Linked DNA regions of Saccharomyces cerevisiae S288C. The gene in region 1 interacts genetically with each later gene. Each region holds a gene or a part of one and is shown in the gene's direction. Other genes may lie near its edges. The genes, in order: RAD17, RAD18, TOF1 and MRC1.

Evidence for each region.
Region 2: mutations in RAD17 (region 1) and RAD18 together harm fitness more than expected from each alone (negative genetic interaction), as found in Saccharomyces cerevisiae (5 studies listed by BioGRID, with this or other methods).
Region 3: mutations in RAD17 (region 1) and TOF1 together harm fitness more than expected from each alone (negative genetic interaction), as found in Saccharomyces cerevisiae (6 studies listed by BioGRID, with this or other methods).
Region 4: mutations in RAD17 (region 1) and MRC1 together harm fitness more than expected from each alone (negative genetic interaction), as found in Saccharomyces cerevisiae (8 studies listed by BioGRID, with this or other methods).

Annotation. Positions count from the first base shown.
Region 1 is NC_001147.6:1,025,133-1,028,562, forward strand, and holds RAD17 (Rad17p), read left to right. Parts: upstream 1-1,710; coding exon 1,711-2,916; downstream 2,917-3,430. Other genes in the region: YOR365C (putative flavin adenine dinucleotide transporter), read right to left, coding at 1-440; SCP1 (Scp1p), read left to right, coding at 875-1,477; 40S ribosomal protein eS12 RPS12, read right to left, coding at 3,062-3,430. UniProt on the Saccharomyces cerevisiae protein: Component of the checkpoint clamp complex involved in the surveillance mechanism that allows the DNA repair pathways to act to restore the integrity of the DNA prior to DNA synthesis or separation of the replicated chromosomes.
Region 2 is NC_001135.5:229,616-233,508, forward strand, and holds RAD18 (E3 ubiquitin-protein ligase RAD18), read left to right. Parts: upstream 1-1,884; coding exon 1,885-3,348; downstream 3,349-3,893. Other genes in the region: HCM1 (Hcm1p), read left to right, coding at 1-1,389; GTPase-activating protein SED4, read right to left, coding at 3,510-3,893. UniProt on the Saccharomyces cerevisiae protein: E3 RING-finger protein, member of the UBC2/RAD6 epistasis group. Associates to the E2 ubiquitin conjugating enzyme UBC2/RAD6 to form the UBC2-RAD18 ubiquitin ligase complex involved in postreplicative repair (PRR) of damaged DNA.
Region 3 is NC_001146.8:121,191-127,122, forward strand, and holds TOF1 (Tof1p), read left to right. Parts: upstream 1-1,692; coding exon 1,693-5,409; downstream 5,410-5,932. Other genes in the region: GOR1 (glyoxylate reductase), read right to left, coding at 1-980; guanine nucleotide exchange factor SEC2, read right to left, coding at 5,615-5,932. UniProt on the Saccharomyces cerevisiae protein: Forms a fork protection complex (FPC) with CSM3 and which is required for chromosome segregation during meiosis and DNA damage repair. FPC coordinates leading and lagging strand synthesis and moves with the replication fork.
Region 4 is NC_001135.5:18,258-23,798, reverse strand, and holds MRC1 (chromatin-modulating protein MRC1), read left to right. Parts: upstream 1-1,692; coding exon 1,693-4,983; downstream 4,984-5,541. Other genes in the region: ADF1 (Adf1p), read right to left, coding at 1-215; FYV5 (Fyv5p), read left to right, coding at 1-276; ribosome biosynthesis protein KRR1, read left to right, coding at 420-1,370; VAC17 (Vac17p), read right to left, coding at 5,238-5,541. UniProt on the Saccharomyces cerevisiae protein: Required for normal DNA replication. Phosphorylated in response to DNA replication stress. Phosphorylation allows it to mediate the activation of RAD53.

The DNA of each region.
Region 1 (3,430 bases):
TAATAACTTCCCATGAGTTCTATATTTCCCGGCTTCAACGGACATAATAAATTATCTTGGATTCCACATAGATCAAAAACTTTGGTATAAACATTGAGACCATATGCAATCAATTCTGCCTTGATGGTTATGTTTTCGCTCATAATTGTTTGTGCTTCAACATTAAAGAATAGAGTATTATTTCTCGGGAAAAAAGCAGCTTCGAAATACGATGCAGAAAACTGTGAGTCTTTAGCACAAGTCAACAGAGCCGAAGTCCTTAGATATTCTTTAGTATATGCATCAAATGGTACTGGGAATAGAGTCGATGCGTTGTTCAGTAGTGTAAAAGAGTTAGAAACCTGGAAAGTAGAGCTGTTAATGGAAATAGCGTGTATTTGTCGGAAGATTGCTAGCAAAACAAAAATCCGAGATAAAGAGAAGACTTTAATGGGAAGCATACTTATTCTCTTTACATCTATAAATCAGAGAGGTTAAATATTATTTAAAATAGCATTACGACTTTGCTTCATCATCCTTCCAAAATATTGACACTGCATCATTTTTTAAATGTGTCAGTAATTCGGGCACAAAAATATAAATGGACCGCCATGAACTAAAGCTGTCGTCGATATGGATCGCTCCATAGCAGCATTATAAAAATTAAAAATGCATCAATACCATGCTACAGTAATAACAAAATACAGCATGGATTACCACTACATATTCATCATGTCATGCATTATAGTTGTAACATATGCTGAACACCCATTCATCACGTGTAATTGGACATCCGTGGAGTTCCAAAAGGAGTATAAACGCAAATAGTAAAGCTAAGATATAAGTAGTGTCTAAGTAAATGACTTCTTTGTAAGCGTACAGCTAAAGTTTACCGATGAGTTACGATAAGAAGGCAGATGTCACATCCTTAGATGAAGATTTGAGACAACTAAGAGAAAGCAAATTTTCACCGGAAGCAATTCAAAATATCAAAATATGGGTATATAAATCTGTCCTAAAAGAGATAGCTCCTCCTGGAGACTTATTGGAATGCTTGAAAGATGGAACAGTCCTATGTAAGCTGGCAAATATTTTATATGAAGCAGACACAGGAGAAGCTAACCATATTAGTTGGAAGAGCTCTAAAATGCCATTTGTTCAAATGGATCAAATTTCCCAATTTTTATCATTTTCGAGAAAATATGGTGTGCCTGAAGATGAACTGTTTCAGACAATTGATCTTTTTGAGAAAAAGGATCCTGCCATTGTTTTCCAAACGTTGAAGTCACTATCTCGTTACGCCAACAAAAAACATACAGATAGATTTCCAGTTCTAGGACCACAACTGTCAACAAAGAAGCCAAGACCCCCGGTTAAGTCTAAACCAAAACATCTACAAGATGGTACTGGATGGAGCACTTTTGAATACGGTTATATGAAAGGTGCATCTCAGGCTACTGAAGGAGTGGTGTTAGGACAACGGAGAGATATAGTTTAGAGAATTATTATTAACACTTTCTCTGGCAGAAATTGATAAATAAACATTTAAGAACCCTATATACGCAACCAAAGTTCCTTTGATATATTTTAGTTTTCCATCAAAGTTTTCCTACATAAACACTAAGGTGGCTAGAGACGCGTAACAAAAGTTAACGTTACCGGTAAAAATGTGATTATACAAATCAATCTCACAGAACGGTGTGGAAACAAAGTAGTTGAAGGATTTCAACTATGCGAATCAACAGTGAGCTAGCGAACAAGTTTTCTGCCTCAACGGTGCACTTAGAACATATCACAACTGCTTTAAGTTGTTTAACACCTTTTGGTTCTAAAGACGATGTGCTTATATTCATTGATGCTGATGGGCTGTCATTTGTCAGGGAGAATAATCATGTGATAAAAATCCAACTACTGTTATCTCGGGAGCTATTTATGTCTTATTCGTATAGAAATGAAACTGAGGATCACATGAAACTTTGTGTAAAAATAAATCATATCTTAGATAGCGTTAGCGTGATGAACAGGAATTCGGATGACATTGTTGAGTGTACTTTATCTTATGATGGACATGGATCACCATTTGTACTAATATTTGAAGACTCGTTCATTTCTGAGAGAGTGGAGTACTCTACCTACTTAATTAAGGATTTTGATACTAATGGACTAGAACTCGATAGAGAAAGGATAAGCTTTGAGGCAATTATTAAGGGCGAAGCCCTTCATTCAGCCTTAAAGGATCTAAAAGAAATCGGATGCAAAGAGTGCTATGTATATGCAAAGACCGAGGCGAATGATGAGAATGTATTTGCCCTGATATCTAAATCTCAGCTAGGATTTTCTAAAATAAAATTACCCAGTAACAGATCCATACTAGAGAAGTTACAAGTATTTGACGGAGATTCCACAACAGTAATAGATGGTTTTGCTGTAATTGGGTTCTTCGATTTCACCTCGTTTGATAAAATCAGAAAGAGTACTAAAATTGCAAGCAAAGTCCTTTTCAGGATGGATGTTCATGGCGTATTGAGTGTAAATATTCTAAGTCAAACAGACGATGTCATTATCACTGATACTACAAGACCTTCAAATAATCGACCAGGTAGTATTCGCCAACTGCAGCTACCCAAGGATTATCCCGGTATAGTAATTGAGGTTTGCATGCTAGAAAAAGAATCCATAGATGAGGCAGCACAGACAGAAATAGAACTCCTGATGGAGACTAATGAACTTGGCAATCGTAATAGTTTTAAAAAATCAACTATAAGAAAAAGATATGGTACAGATAAAGGCAATGAAACTTCAAATGACAACTTGCTGCAATTGAATGGGAAAAAAATTAAACTACCATCTGAAGAAGAAAACAATAAAAACAGGGAAAGTGAGGATGAAGAGAATCACTGCAAGTATCCAACAAAGGATATTCCTATATTTTTTTAAGTCAATATCCAGCATCGCAGAAAACGCAGAACTTCATTCAGCATTTGGTAATTTTATAACATATAACTTACAATTAAATAAAAGTTTAACTATATATTATTATGTGATCTAACTCTAGAAAAAGTACTAATGAACATCACACCGTTTATTGTTGGGAGAAGTGTTCCATGATCATGGACAATTCATCAGTTTCAGCACCCCAGTTCTTGACAACAACAACGGAGGCACCGACAACCTTTCTGGCGTTACCTTCACGGTCGATCTTACCCAAACCAGCCCATTCACCTAATTGCTTAGCATCAGCAACCTTGATCAATGGAACCTTGTTTTCTGGGTCGTTAGCCAAACCTTCAACCAACTTGATAATGTTAGCTTCAGTAACAGAGCTGACCAAAACAACCAATAAAGCTTCACCTCTGGTTAAAGCCTTGGTAGATTCTCTCAAACCTCTAGCTAGACCATCGTGAACCAAAGCGGTTCTCAAAACAACCTTCAAAGCATCTTCGATAGTAAC
Region 2 (3,893 bases), on another chromosome or scaffold:
AATGGTGAACTCGCCAAGAAACCTCCATATTCGTATGCAACTTTGATTTGCTTGGCCATTTTGCAATCTCAGGAGGGAAAGCTAACGCTATCCCAGATATATCATTGGATCCACGTTCACTTCCCTTATTACAAGCAGAAAGATGCTAGTTGGCAAAATTCAATAAGACATAACTTGTCTTTAAATGATGCGTTCATCAAGACTGAAAAGTCCTGCGATGGTAAGGGTCATTTCTGGGAGGTCAGACCGGGTGCCGAAACAAAATTTTTCAAAGGTGAAAATCGTGGTTATGAATTTGTAAAGGACTCCTTACAAGACATTGGGAAGTATTTTGAAATAGATTCTACACTTGATGAATTAGAACAAGTTGAGAGTGGAGAAGGCAATGATGATCTTCCTGACGAGGAAGAAAGAGAGGAAGCAGGGAAATTCCCTTCCATTGAAATTCAATTGAACTCCTCCCCTATACTGAGAGTTTCCCAGTTACATCACATACCGCAATTGAAAACAGACAACAGTGTACTGAACCCTCACGAAAACCTAGAATCGATGCGGAACATGATAGAAAACGATGTCAACAATATAGATTCCTTGGAACCTCCTTATGTCATGAAGAAATATCATACTTCTTTAGGCTTACCGTCGCTGGTGAATGCCAAAGATCATTTCCAGGCGGGTGTGAAAAACAATAATATCACCCAGGCAAATAGATTTAATACACTCCCTATAACTAGCGCAAAGTCTCCTCAGAATTTCAGAAAATATTTCACCTCATTCAATTCAAATTTTGAAGATTTATCTCCACTTCGAAGTAATGTAGGGGCTGGTTCTCTACTCGACCCACTTCCGTATTCCCCATTGAAGCTGTACGATCAGAAAAATCTTGCGCTCATGTCGAAACCACAATCTCAGCAATCATATTCCAATTCTCAACTTCCACCTCCACCTTCCTCTCATGGTTCGGACTTACTTAAAACACCCAAGATGAGGCATTCCGATGGCTTAGAGAAAACCCCATCGCGGTTGATAAGCACACCTAAGGACGGTAACTCGATTTTGAGGAAATGGCAGACTCCTTCACACCTTTTTGAAGATTTGTACTGTTCTCCGCTATTTAGAGCTATAGAGACTCCAATCAGGTATATCACGACGCCGGGGGGCACTTTGGAAACCCAAATTTCACCAAGAAAGTCCTCTGCACCCGATGTCCTCACAAGCGCAACGAATTCCAAATTTGCTTCAAGCGGGCTGTTTGGCGTGGATGTTTATTCTGTTTGGAAGCGCGCAACTGAAAAGATTTCTGATGGTAACAATACTACGGATAGCAATCAAAAACATCATCCTTATCATAATCACCCTTCCAACGATAGCGGTAATGAAAAGAATTGACTTTTTTTTTTTTTTTTTTTCATTTTCTTTTCCTCACCGAAAACTAATTATTCTTAATCTGATGGATTCATCGCAAACGGTTGGATGAGTCCTAAACTGGGCTGGAGTTATCATATCACATAGCATTTTCTTTTTAATCTTATTGTATTGTCGGGTCAACTAACTTCTTTTCCCGCTCTTCTATGGTATAATCAATTGCAGAAGAGGCAGGAAAAAATTGTAATCATAACAAAAATGATACAAATTTTTTTTCTAAGTTTTATATTTTACATATCTTTATTTTTGATCCTTACGGATTTTTAATACAGTATTTAGCTGAAGTTTCCATTCACTTCACTTACCTTTTTGATCTCTTTTATTTTTACTTGCCCCGTTGCCTTGCATTTTTCAATAGAAAGTGAAAAACTAAGTACCACTTGAGCAATGCCACATTAGAAGAAAAACCATCCGCAAGTGAGCATCACAGCTACTAAGAAAAGGCCATTTTTACTACTCATGGACCACCAAATAACCACTGCAAGCGACTTCACGACTACTTCAATACCGAGCCTGTACCAATTGGATACACTTTTGAGATGTCACATTTGTAAAGATTTTCTAAAAGTCCCCGTCTTAACACCTTGTGGCCATACATTTTGTTCCCTTTGTATTAGAACACATTTGAATAACCAACCAAATTGTCCTCTCTGCCTTTTCGAGTTCAGAGAGTCCTTGCTGAGAAGTGAGTTCCTGGTCAGTGAAATAATTCAAAGTTATACATCCCTACGATCTTCCTTACTAGATGCACTAAGGATACCGAAGCCTACCCCTGTCCCTGAGAATGAGGAAGTACCAGGTCCTGAAAATTCTTCATGGATAGAACTCATATCAGAGTCTGAAAGTGACAGTGTAAATGCCGCTGATGATGACTTGCAAATTGTTGCAACAAGTGAAAGAAAACTTGCCAAAAGATCCATGACTGATATATTACCACTGAGTTCCAAACCATCCAAAAGGAATTTTGCAATGTTCAGAAGTGAACGTATCAAGAAAAAATCAAAGCCAAATGAACAAATGGCCCAGTGCCCCATATGTCAACAATTTTATCCTCTTAAAGCCCTTGAAAAAACACATTTGGATGAATGCCTAACTTTACAATCACTAGGCAAAAAACCAAAAATTTCTACCACTTTCCCTACAGAGTCAAATCCACATAACAAAAGTTCATCCAGATTCAAGGTACGAACTCCAGAAGTCGACAAAAGCTCATGTGGTGAGACCTCACATGTGGATAAGTATTTAAACTCAATGATGAGTGCAGAACACCAAAGATTGCCGAAGATCAATTTTACGTCTATGACTCAATCCCAAATAAAACAAAAACTGTCATCGTTGGGACTGTCAACTAATGGTACTAGGCAAAACATGATTAAAAGATACAATCACTACGAAATGCTTTGGAATTCTAATTTTTGTGATTCTCTAGAACCTGTTGATGAAGCTGAACTAAAAAGACAGTTGTTAAGCTGGGATGTTTCACACAATAAAACCCCCCAAAATAGTAGCAACAAGGGTGGAATTTCTAAATTAATGATAATGAAGAGTAATGGGAAATCTTCTTCATATAGGAAATTACTTGAAAATTTCAAAAACGATAAATTTAATAGGAAAGGATGGATGGTTATGTTTCGGAAGGATTTTGCTAGGCTTATCAGGGAAGCAAAAATGAAAATAAAAACAGGTTCATCGGACAGTTCAGGTTCAGTGGGACATTCTAATGATGGAGATGGTGTTGAAAAAGTTCAAAGTGACCAGGGAACCGAGGATCAGCAAATGGAGAAGGATCAGGACACTGTTATCAACGAAGATAGAGTTGCTGGTGAAAGAAATTTGCCTAACGAAGATTCAACTGATGCTGACTTATCAAGAGAATTAATGGACTTGAATGAATATAGTAAAGACCCACCCGGTAACAATTAAGGTGTGTATATGTAATCAGGCCTGTTTGTTAGCTTGTGCACATTTGTTAATTAATAATTTATTTAAAAATGGGCAAAATATAAATGCATAAAAGATGACATAGAGATATGTGCACAAAGCTATGTAATCATATTTAACATTAATATATATTATTTCGTTATTCACAATTCGTCATGAAGGCCAGCGTAGTTTACGGTTCCTGCTACTGCATTATCATCGTTGACAATGTTTGTATTCGAATTATTATTCAAAGGTGCTGCAATTGTTTGCGGAGGGGCCACTGGATTAGGCAAAGAAGTGATCTCCACGTTAAGTGCTGAAATAACTTCACTAGATAGAGAGACGTCTTCGGTAACATCTACCGTACCAGATGCCTGCATTTCCGTCGTAAGCATTCGGGAAACAGGAGTATTTACATTTTCGCTGATTTTGTGGCGTACCCCAAACGCTTCAGATGAATCTTTTGATGACTGTACTTCTATCATTATTTCTTTCTGTACAAATCCTGATGCATCAATTGAACTAGCAGATATTTTGTGAGGGCT
Region 3 (5,932 bases), on another chromosome or scaffold:
GTCAATATCACATTCTTTGCATTTTCAACGACCAGTTCTTCCATTTTCTTTCTTGTTTCTACACTATGTGTGCCCATATGAGGCAGTCCTAAGACTTGGGACATCGATAATAACTCTTTGGATATTTTTGGCTCATATTCGAAAACGTCCAAACCAGCACTTCTAATCTTTCCAGAACGCAAAGCATCAGTCATGGCTTGTTCGTCTATCACGGCACCACGCGCTGTGTTAACAATAACTACACCATCTTTCATTTTTTCAATAGTCTCTGCATTGATTAGATGGTGAGTATTGTGGTTCAGTGGGACGTTTACAGATACTATATCAGAACGCTTCAAAAACTCCTCGAATCCTACATATTCACAACCATGCTCTTCTTCGGAAGGAAGCTGGTGTCTGTTATGATATATGAAATTCTCGAACCCAAACGGCTTCAATCTCTCTAAAATACAACGACCAATCCTACCTAGACCCAGTATACCAACTGTTTTCCCTTCAGGGTCGTATCCAAAGGGAGAACCACATGCGGGTCCTGCCTCCGGCCAGTTTCCCTCGATCAACCTTCTGTTACCAATACCGAAGTTTCTTAGGGCACCCAATAGCAAAAATACATGCGTATCAGCGGTAGCATTGCTAACTAAATCAGGAACATTGGCAACCTGGATGTGCCTTTTCTTGAATGGCTCAACATCAATTTGGTCATAACCAGCACCAGTATGACATACAGCCACTACGGAGGAGGGCAAAGCAAGAGCAAGCTCTTCATCAAATCTACCGGTGTTTTTCACACTCCTTGCTGTTCTAGTAATGACTTGTACTTGGGAGAGCTTATTTTGTGGGTCTTTTACCTCCCGCAAAAACTGTTCTCTAGTGGTGGATTCAGGGATGGTAATTACATCCGCAATCTTTTCCAATTCCCCCCAGGCTTGGTCACCAAAGGCATCCTTTCCTAATTTCAAAACAATTGGTTTCTTACTCATATTCTCTTCTCCTCTTCTTGCTCGTTTATGTATTGTTAATACTTCGGTATTGTAGAGCAATAATCATGTAGAAGGATTTCCCTAACGTAACAACAAGGCCAATAGAATTTACTTTTTATATGCTCGAGATTAGTGAAAAATGGGATAAGATTGCCTTGTTATCCCCGCCCCCTGCCAAGACTTTTGCAGATTTTAAGTCCGCTCTCGGTCCTACGTAATAAATGCCTGGAGAAGCTCTAGAGCTAATTGCGTCGTCCTTCAGGAATTCTGAAGACCACAGCAACGCAATCAGATGGCGGAACCACATTATGAAGCCAAGTGAGGTGTATACAGAGTTATACGTACTTTTCATCCATCCCCGCTCGGTTTCACCGTTCATAACGCTGGTTTTCACTGCCACTTCTCATATCAAGTCAGCGAAATAACCAGTAGTTGTCCTGTATATAGGCATCCCTACCGTTTGCTTTAGGAAGCTGTTCTGTGTTACTATCACAACTGGGTAGTGCCCTGTATGAATTGCTTCCCTGTGGAAATGGCCCTTCCATTATGCTACTTTGACGCGTTTACTGCCGCATTACGCGTTTACGATGAAAAATTAAAATGAGTATTAAGGATTTTTCAAATGAGATATGGTTCGTAAGTCGCCTCACATATGATAATACCATCTAGCTTGTGGGGTTTAGTGTATCTTTAATATAGGAGGGCGCACACTATGTCTGCTGATTTGCAACAAGGCACTACAAATGCGGCTGATTTCTCTCTGACGGTACTTAGAGCAAGAATTGCTTTATTGGCAACTGCCATCGGTGGGCCGGATTATACTTCCCAGATAGACCCACCCCCTTATAAGCTTGGCGATGACTGTTTGGCGTGCTTAAAAGATCTGAAAAGATGGTTTAAACTAGTGGATGACCAGCAGAAAAGATGGGATGTGGCAATGGCAGTAGCTGAATATCGCATCTTGACGGATGATCTGTTACCTATTCTGATAGATTGGGAAAACAAATGTTCTCTTGCAGCAAAGCTTGCAAAGAACAACCCAGACCATGAAGAGTTTAGAAACAAAGCTTATTACGATAAAATTGCGCTAAATTGTCTACAACTATTGGTCCTTATGACTTGGCCTTTAATTGTAACTGAACAGTCTTCATCAAATCAAATTACTCTCTATGGTGAGCTAAAGAAGCATCAATTGGTATACAAGAAAACGATTCTGTCTATGGAAAGTGGTAAAGTGTTAAGAGCTGCCATTAGATTGGCTCTGGATGTTATCAAAATCGACCGATTATCAAGAACTCCTAGGGACAATATGGTTCTCAAATTGGTTTTGAATTTTTTCAGAAATGTCATTGCTATAGAACCCGGTGAATTTACTATCAATACTAAGAAAAGCATGCCTAAGAAAGGTATCACATCTATCGATACTTTGCCACCAAACGTCTCTATGGATGACATCTCTTTAAATACGGTTATTTCCTCATTCCATAAAAACAAGGTATTCGGTTTCCTCTTAACGCTGACCAGCTCCTTATCAAAAGAGTTTGACCAGGACTTTATCAATATCCCACTGTTGGAGATTATGTTCTACTTCACTAAAGATGTTAACCAAGAACTGCTATTCCCTCGACAGTTCGAAACCGGGACACATTCAAAGGTGGTAAATAAAAATGAGAGCTCCTCTGCTAATAACATTGTTACAAGTGCAGGTTTTGAACTATCGAAGTTATTACAAAAGGAACACCAAATGAGAAAAAACGTTATCAAGCATACATCTGCAAGACACTCCAGATTTGGTGGTCTTTTATCTATACAAACACCAGATAAAACTAGGTTAACTGTTTCTGGTAGCCAAGCTCTCGTAGATGAAAAAATAGCGCTCCAAAAACTAGATGACAGCAAAAAATGGAATAAAAGAATAATTAAAAAGCATCAATCTGTCGCAGCTGAGGGCTTACCGAATAGTCTCTTGAATTCACAAACCGGTAAAGCTATTTTTTTCACCGAATCAAATGGTAAACATTTCAAAGAATTCATCAACAACTTTATAGATTCCGGCTTTAACATCTTGTTGCATAGTGTGACGAACTACTTCACAACTGAGCAGGATAGGATGGTAACTTTGGAGCAAGTCGAATATTTACTTTTCTTTGCATGGTTTGTTAAATACCAGTTGTTGAGGTCCAAAATCGACAATTCCGCAGATATAAAGCAAGTTTCAGAAGCCTTGAAAGAGGTGACTTTCATTCTAGTGTCTTCTCTTTTAAGAAGCGCATATGACCTGAAAAATTGGACAGTGACACATGCTGGTATGATTGCATTTAATGAACTGTTGAACCTCGTTTCCCGTACAAAGGCCGCTCAAGAAGAGGATTCGACCGATATAGAATTCATTGTAAGTAGGCTTTTCAGTGACGAGAGAATACAATTACTGTCAAATCTGCCGAAGATTGGTTCCAAATACTCCCTCCAATTCATGAAAAGTTGCATTGAACTAACACACTCGGTATTGAAAGTATTAGAGCAATACTCTGACGATAAAACATTAGTTATTGAAGGCAAATCAAGACGGCAAAAAAAGTTTAATATTTCAGAAGGTGATATTACTAAATTGATAGAAGAAGAAAATGTAGATAGAGATGAAGCGCTTGATATTCTAACCTCTTCTTTAAGAAGTATAGAAGTCAATTTTCAAAAGGTGCAAGCCAACTATATGACAGAACCGGTAATAGAAACGTACATTAATTTCCTTGAAAGATTTCGTGAGCTTGAGGACGATTCCATTAAAAAAGTATTTTCCTTTTTCCATAGAGTATTTGTTCAGGCAAAAGAACAGGCATTGTTATTTAGATTTGATTTGATAATATTATTAAGAGAAATGCTTTCACCTGACGGATTAGATAGAATGTCTCGTTCAAGGAAATATGTGAGTCAATTTTCAGACTACTTCCTCGCCAGGTTGAAGAAAAGGTTAAAGAAATCACCTGCTTGGTTTGTTGGATTACTTTTCCCGCCATTACACAATAGTGAAGTAGGATTTTACCAAAGATATGGTGAATATAATGTACTTAATAATGAATCAATGTATGCCGCTCCTGCATCACAGTTCAAACCAATTCCCGATGAAGAAGCCTTACCACCTTCGATTTTGTTGGATATGAAATATGGTGTTTTAGTTTCCACATTACTTGATGATGGAAAAACTGAACTATTGGACCAACTGCTCAAGCATATAACCCACACACTAGATATTTTTAAGTCGTGGCTAACCGTAAATGTTAATGCTGGGAAAGAAACAGTTAATCCACCCAATGAATATTTCACATTGACAGGTGTACTCAACAACGACCCTATTTTTAAAGATAAGGACTACAGGGCTTTATTGTTGCTGATAGGATACTCCATTCCACGTAAAATCAATGAACCTTGTTTTTTACCGGGGACTGTTGAAGTTTCTGACCTGACTGTTTCTTGTGAACTAGTGAAAAAATACTTATCAACACCATTTGAAACTCCAAACGGACTGCCTTCTTCTTCCTATCTTCTACGAGTTCGTTCAGAAAAGGATAGTTTTTCTCACAATGAACAAGATGGATGGGAAGGAGACGATGATTATGATTACAACGATCCCTACATTGTTCCAGATGATCAAATTTTATCGAAAAGCGACGCAGCATACTTCAAGGATTTAGATAACAATGCATCAGATAAACTTAAAGGTACCAAATTCAGTAAAGGGATTGCGAGATCCAAAAAAAAAGATAAGAGGAAGCGTAGGAAAGGAGAAGCCAAGACTAATTTGCCAATGTTTGGCGACCAGGATGATGAACGACCTCAGACCGTTAGAGAACGCCATGGCGTATTCAGTAAAGAGTTTATTAGTGATTCAGAAGATGACGAGGATTTGATGAACCCTATATTTTTTGAAAACGAAACATATATGAGATGGTTACTAGATAAAAACAATGGTCAGTTGACCGAGGATAGATATATCCAGTTTGCCAAATTTGCCGCGGAAAGGATGAATAATGGGGGTGTTGTGACAGGAGATTATACGAGCTTGTTTGGTGGATCCATACCAAGTATTGAAAGCATAAGAGCTACAGAAAGTAGTTCCTTTGCGCCAGATAAAAGCCTCATTTCTTTAGCAAGCCACGTGGCATCTGAAATGTCTATTTTCGATGTAAATAATAACAATAATAATCAACTCTCTGATGACGATGTCAACTCGGAATCAAGAAATAGTTTGGGCTCATCACAGCCATCAAATTCGCAAAATATGTTCCAATCTGAGGTGTATAGCAGAAAAGAATCTACAAAGCGTTCTTTGGAAGCGAGTGCAGCCGATGAAAGCGATGAAGATGAAGAGGCCATCCGCCTTTTTGGCAAAAAGTCTAGAGTTGTTTTGAGCCAAGGTGATAGTGATGATTGAGAATGAATATGTAGTAATTAATCCCTTTAATACGTGTAATTTTAGAACCACTTCTTTACTCTGTTTTTAAGTTCAAAGTATTGACATAATATTAAAACAATACATGCGATTCATTCTTTATCATTACCTATATTTTTCTAAGTTGTTGAACATCTTAAGGAACTCAAATGTCCATTAGGACACATAAAATTAAATATTATATAATTTATTGCTGTTCCTGGGCATCATCGAAATTGTCATCATTGCTTGAAGACGCATGCAATCCGCTACTAGGACTATTTTCCCCTATTTGTTCTTGGGTTTTGTCGCCTATCGTCAAGTTTGTCTTTAAAGTTTTTTCATTATTATCCTTCTTAGAGTTCTCGTCTCCAGAAGATGCCCTCTTCGAGGATATATTTTGTTTTACATTAGACTCAGCGTTTTCAAATTCAGTCTGATCAATTGCGCTTTCTTCTCTAAATTGCTCTTCTAAATCATCCAAATCTTGGAGTAACTTCTTCTTTTGTATCTTGCGTTGAGGAGC
Region 4 (5,541 bases), on another chromosome or scaffold:
TTCAAAGTAGTCTCAGCTTTCAGTTTAGCTGGCTCTTGTGTACTTGCCTCCCGCAGCAGCGTCGGTATCATTGTTTCACTACTTTTGTTTAACTTTTCCACTTGTAACTTTGTTCTCTTCCTTTCAGCGGTGCTGATCGACCTCTTTTTTTGTACTTTCTTGCCAACACCAACATTCTTGCCCACACCTTTCTTTTTCATGCTACACTTGCCCATTTTTTCCTTGCTAAATGCCCTTGAGTTATTGTACCTTATTATAGCAGGCTTGCACATCTGAAAACGAAAATTTTTTTTTCCTTATATTTCTAATTCTTTTAGCGATGAGATATGAAAATTTTCAAAAAAAAGAGATGATGAGGTTAACTATTGTAAAGTAGACAGCAAACAAAAGGGTCACACAAATATCCAAATTGGCAAACGATGGTGTCTACACATAACAGAGATAAACCTTGGGATACGGATGATATTGATAAATGGAAGATAGAGGAGTTTAAGGAAGAGGATAACGCATCCGGTCAACCTTTTGCTGAAGAGTCCAGTTTTATGACTTTGTTTCCTAAATACAGAGAAAGTTACTTGAAGACGATTTGGAATGATGTAACAAGGGCTCTAGACAAACACAACATAGCGTGTGTTCTAGATTTAGTCGAAGGTTCTATGACAGTAAAAACAACTAGAAAAACATACGATCCCGCTATCATTTTGAAAGCCAGAGATTTGATCAAATTATTGGCGAGATCCGTTCCTTTCCCGCAAGCCGTTAAGATCCTACAAGATGACATGGCATGCGACGTTATTAAAATTGGTAATTTCGTTACTAACAAAGAAAGGTTTGTCAAGAGAAGACAACGTCTTGTAGGCCCTAACGGTAATACTTTAAAGGCTTTGGAACTTCTAACTAAATGTTACATTCTAGTACAAGGTAACACAGTAAGTGCCATGGGTCCCTTCAAGGGCTTGAAGGAGGTCCGTCGAGTAGTAGAAGATTGTATGAAAAATATTCACCCTATCTATCATATCAAGGAATTAATGATAAAAAGAGAATTGGCAAAAAGGCCAGAGTTAGCCAATGAAGATTGGTCAAGATTCTTGCCCATGTTTAAGAAGAGGAATGTGGCCAGAAAGAAACCCAAGAAGATCAGAAACGTCGAAAAGAAGGTCTATACTCCATTTCCTCCTGCCCAATTGCCTAGAAAGGTTGATTTGGAAATTGAAAGTGGTGAGTATTTCTTAAGCAAGAGAGAAAAGCAAATGAAGAAATTAAATGAGCAAAAGGAAAAGCAAATGGAAAGAGAAATCGAAAGGCAGGAAGAGAGAGCAAAAGATTTCATAGCTCCGGAAGAAGAAGCATACAAGCCAAACCAAAATTAGTTTACACCGCTACGGAATCCTTCATATATGTCTATATATATATAGAAACACACACACATTTCGTTTACTTAGATATGTTTGTAAAGTGAAAGAAATTCTTACTAGGACACCAACTCTACTGGCTCTCATATGCAGAGAGATATACATCAATACTTGAAATTTTCCTTATCCTTCTTCGACGCGTCATGAAGAGATAGAATGCGTAAAACGCGTTTGCTTCAATAGCATTTCAAACACATTATGTTGGAAAAAAACCAAGAACAGACAAACAACTAAGGAAGTTCGTTATTCGCTTTTGAACTTATCACCAAATATTTTAGTGATGGATGATGCCTTGCATGCTTTGTCCTCGTTGACTGCAAAGAAGAGAACTACCACCTACAAAAAAGTTGCTGTTCCCATACTAGATGAGAACGATAATACTAATGGAAATGGGCCCAATGACATAGACAATCCGCCAGAGTTGACTGGGAACGGGTTTTTATTTGCCAATGCCACATTAAATCGTGTTAAGAACAGATTAGAAGGCAAGAAAGCACCCGAACAGAATCACAATAATGGAAAAGATAGGAGTGAGAATTCGTTACCAACTCAATTAATCTCTAATCTTTACGATGGTGGTGAAGAGCTGGAGAAATCCGAAGTTAAAGATAATAGTTACAGTGAGAAAAATGTCTCTTCTTCATTCACGCAGACGCAAAGAATACCTGTCAGCATCCAACAAGACAAGGTGTTTAACGTACCTATCCATTCCGTTAATGACGGGAAACCCACCCAATTAATCAAAGAAGATGGTCTCGTCAACGAAACTTCTCAAGCGCTGAAAACACCTCTCACGACAGGACGGCCAGGGGCTACACAGCGTATAGATAGCAGCGGTGCAACCTCACAAACTCAGCCTATAAAATCAATTGAACCACAATCCCAAATAATTACGACTTCCAGCAATCATTCTAATGCTCTGTCGCCGAAAATTCCTATAATTCCAACGGAACTTATTGGAACTAGTCCTTTATTTCAGTCCATTCAAAATCGTGGTCCTGACACCCAAATGGATGTACCACCACAGACTGCGCATGATGAGGATAAGACACAAGCAATTGGTATTCCACAGGCTACGCATCAGGAACAGAAAACCCAAATAGATACAGTCGCACAAACACTTCAAGATGAAGTACCACACACATTAAAAATTCGGGAAATACAAAGCGAATTGGCTTCAGAAGATTCTAAAAGGGAAAAAGCTAGAAATGTCGAATACAAAAAACCGCAAAAGCCAATACCAACCAAAAAATTTTTTTCTAAAGAGTCTTTTCTTGCTGATTTTGACGATTCGTCCTCAAATGAGGACGATGATATAAAGCTGGAAAATGCACATCCAAAACCAGTACAGAATGACGATGAACTGCATGAGAACAAAAGTGTTGAATTAAATCTAACTGATGAGACAAGAATAAATGAGAAAAGGGTTCCACTATTGAGCTCCTATGCTAATAATTTGAAACGGGAAATTGACTCCTCGAAATGCATAACACTGGACCTCGACAGCGACAGTGACGAATATGGAGATGATGATATGGATAGCATTAAATTATCCAAAGATGAAAGCGTTTTGCCAATCTCTCAGTTATCAAAGGCGACTATATTAAACCTGAAGGCAAGACTCTCTAAACAAAATCAAAAGTTGTCTCAAAGGCCGAATAAAAGTAAAGACCCAAAAGTTGATCATAATGTACTATTAAATACCTTAAGGAAAGCTAGCAGGAAACAAATTCTGGATCATCAGAAAGAAGTGATTGAAACGAAAGGTCTGAAGCTGGAGGATATGGCCAAAGAAAAGGAAATAGTAGAGAACTTGCTAGAACAAGAAATTCTTAGAAATAAAAGAATCAGACAAAAAGAGAAGAGAAGGGAAAAACTTGAAGAAAATGACTTTCAATTGAACGCCCATGATTCCGGTTCTGACTCAGGGTCAGAGTCTTCTGGATTTGCATTGAGTGGTAATGAAATTGCCGATTATGAATCATCTGGTAGTGAAAATGACAATCGTAGAGAATCCGATAGTGAAAAGGAAGATGATGAAATTATTCTAAAGCAAAAAAAATCCCACCACGTGAAACATATCATTAACGAATCAGACTCTGATACCGAAGTCGAAGCCAAACCCAAAGAGAAAGCTGATGAAAGTCTACCGAAAAGGATCGCCATTAATCTGGGCCATTACGGTGATAATATCGGAGAGGATACCGACAAATTTCAAGAAACCAATGTTCTAGATACACAAAACATTGAAGAGGTGATGGCCGAAAGAAATACAATCGAAAATGAAGTCAAAGATGATGTATACGTCAATGAAGAAGCTGATGAAGCAATTCGCCGTCAGCTGATTGACAAAGAGAAATTGCAACTAAAACAGAAAGAAAAGGAGCACGAGGCTAAGATAAAAGAGTTGAAGAAAAGAGGTGTCACAAACTTCTTTGAAATGGAAGCCGAAGAATCCGAGGATGAATGGCATGGTATCGGTGGTGCAGATGGAGAAGGATCTGACGACTATGATTCTGACCTAGAAAAAATGATCGATGATTATTCCAAGAACAATTTCAATCCTCATGAAATCAGAGAAATGCTTGCCGCAGAAAATAAGGAAATGGATATCAAAATGATAAACAAAATTCTTTATGACATTAAAAATGGAGGATTTCGTAATAAAAGAGCAAAAAATAGCTTAGAGCTAGAACTAAGTGATGATGATGAAGACGACGTACTACAACAATATCGTCTCAAAAGGAGAGAATTGATGAGAAAAAGGAGATTAGAAATTGGCGATGATGCAAAGCTTGTTAAAAACCCAAAGTCGAGCGCATTTTTTGAAAGTATGGTGGAAGATATTATCGAATATAAAAACCCCTTCGGGGCTGAAGAGGAATATAACCTAGACATTACAAGTACGGCTACTGACCTAGATACTCAGGACAATAGCATTAATGTAGGTGATAATACGGGAAATAATGAACAGAAACCTGTAGATCAAAAGAACAAAAAGGTTATCATATCTGAAGACTTTGTGCAGAAAAGCTTATCCTTCCTAAAAAGTAATAATTATGAGGATTTTGAAACGGATAAGGAGCTATCAAGGATACAACATGGCAATGATGAAGCAATTGAAGATTTATATACCCTAAAACAGAATAGTTCGATAAAGTCATTCACAAATTCTCAAACTGATTCGACCACTTCAAAAACAGTAAACACAATAATTGACTTAGAAAAGCGCCCAGAGGATGAAGATGAGGTGGAAAATGGAGATACATCACTAGTTGGCGTTTTCAAACATCCATCAATAATCAAATCCTTTGCGTCCAGAACAGACATAAATGATAAGTTTAAAGAAGGTAACAAGACAGTCAAGATTCTAAAGTCTTACAAGACAGTGGGGAGTTCAAAAGCTTCTATCACATATATGGGGAAAACGAGAAAATTAATAGCACCAAAGAGGAAAACTGAAGGGAGCCACCGCTACCACCATGACCATCATAATAAAAAAATGAAAATGAAAACGAAAACAAAATCGAATAAACTTTTTGAAAGCGGACAAGATAGCTTTGATAATTAGTGGTTTTTTATCTTTTCCGAAGAAGTTGATTGAACTCCAGAAGCTGTCTTGAAGTAGTCGCATTAAAAAAGATGGCACCCGAGTCTAGGCCAAGCCATAGTCATGTTATGATAGGATTTTATAAGACAAATATTATAAAGAAGTTTAATAATAATACAAAAAGATACAAAAAAACTTGAAGATATTCTGAATAAAAAAAAAAAGAATAAACATTTGGAGCAAAAGAAGAGTAGGTTAGGTAAAGGAGGCATTAATTAAAACAGCAGTTCTGTATTCAAAGCATCTTGCAATTCTTCTATAGAGACGCTTATATCCATATTATTTTTTTGTTCCTGTGCTACATTATGATTTGATATTCGTTCTTCATTCATGCCCTTATTCTTTCTCCCCCTCTTACTTTGAAAAGATTCTGATATTGTGCTTAACGATGAATTAAACTTATCCATAAAAGATGCATGCTTAAGATTTGTGTTGTTCTCTTTTACCGTATGTGTATCTGATCGTGCAATGAATGATGATAACAACGCCTTAGAACTTGAAATACGAGGACCATTACGA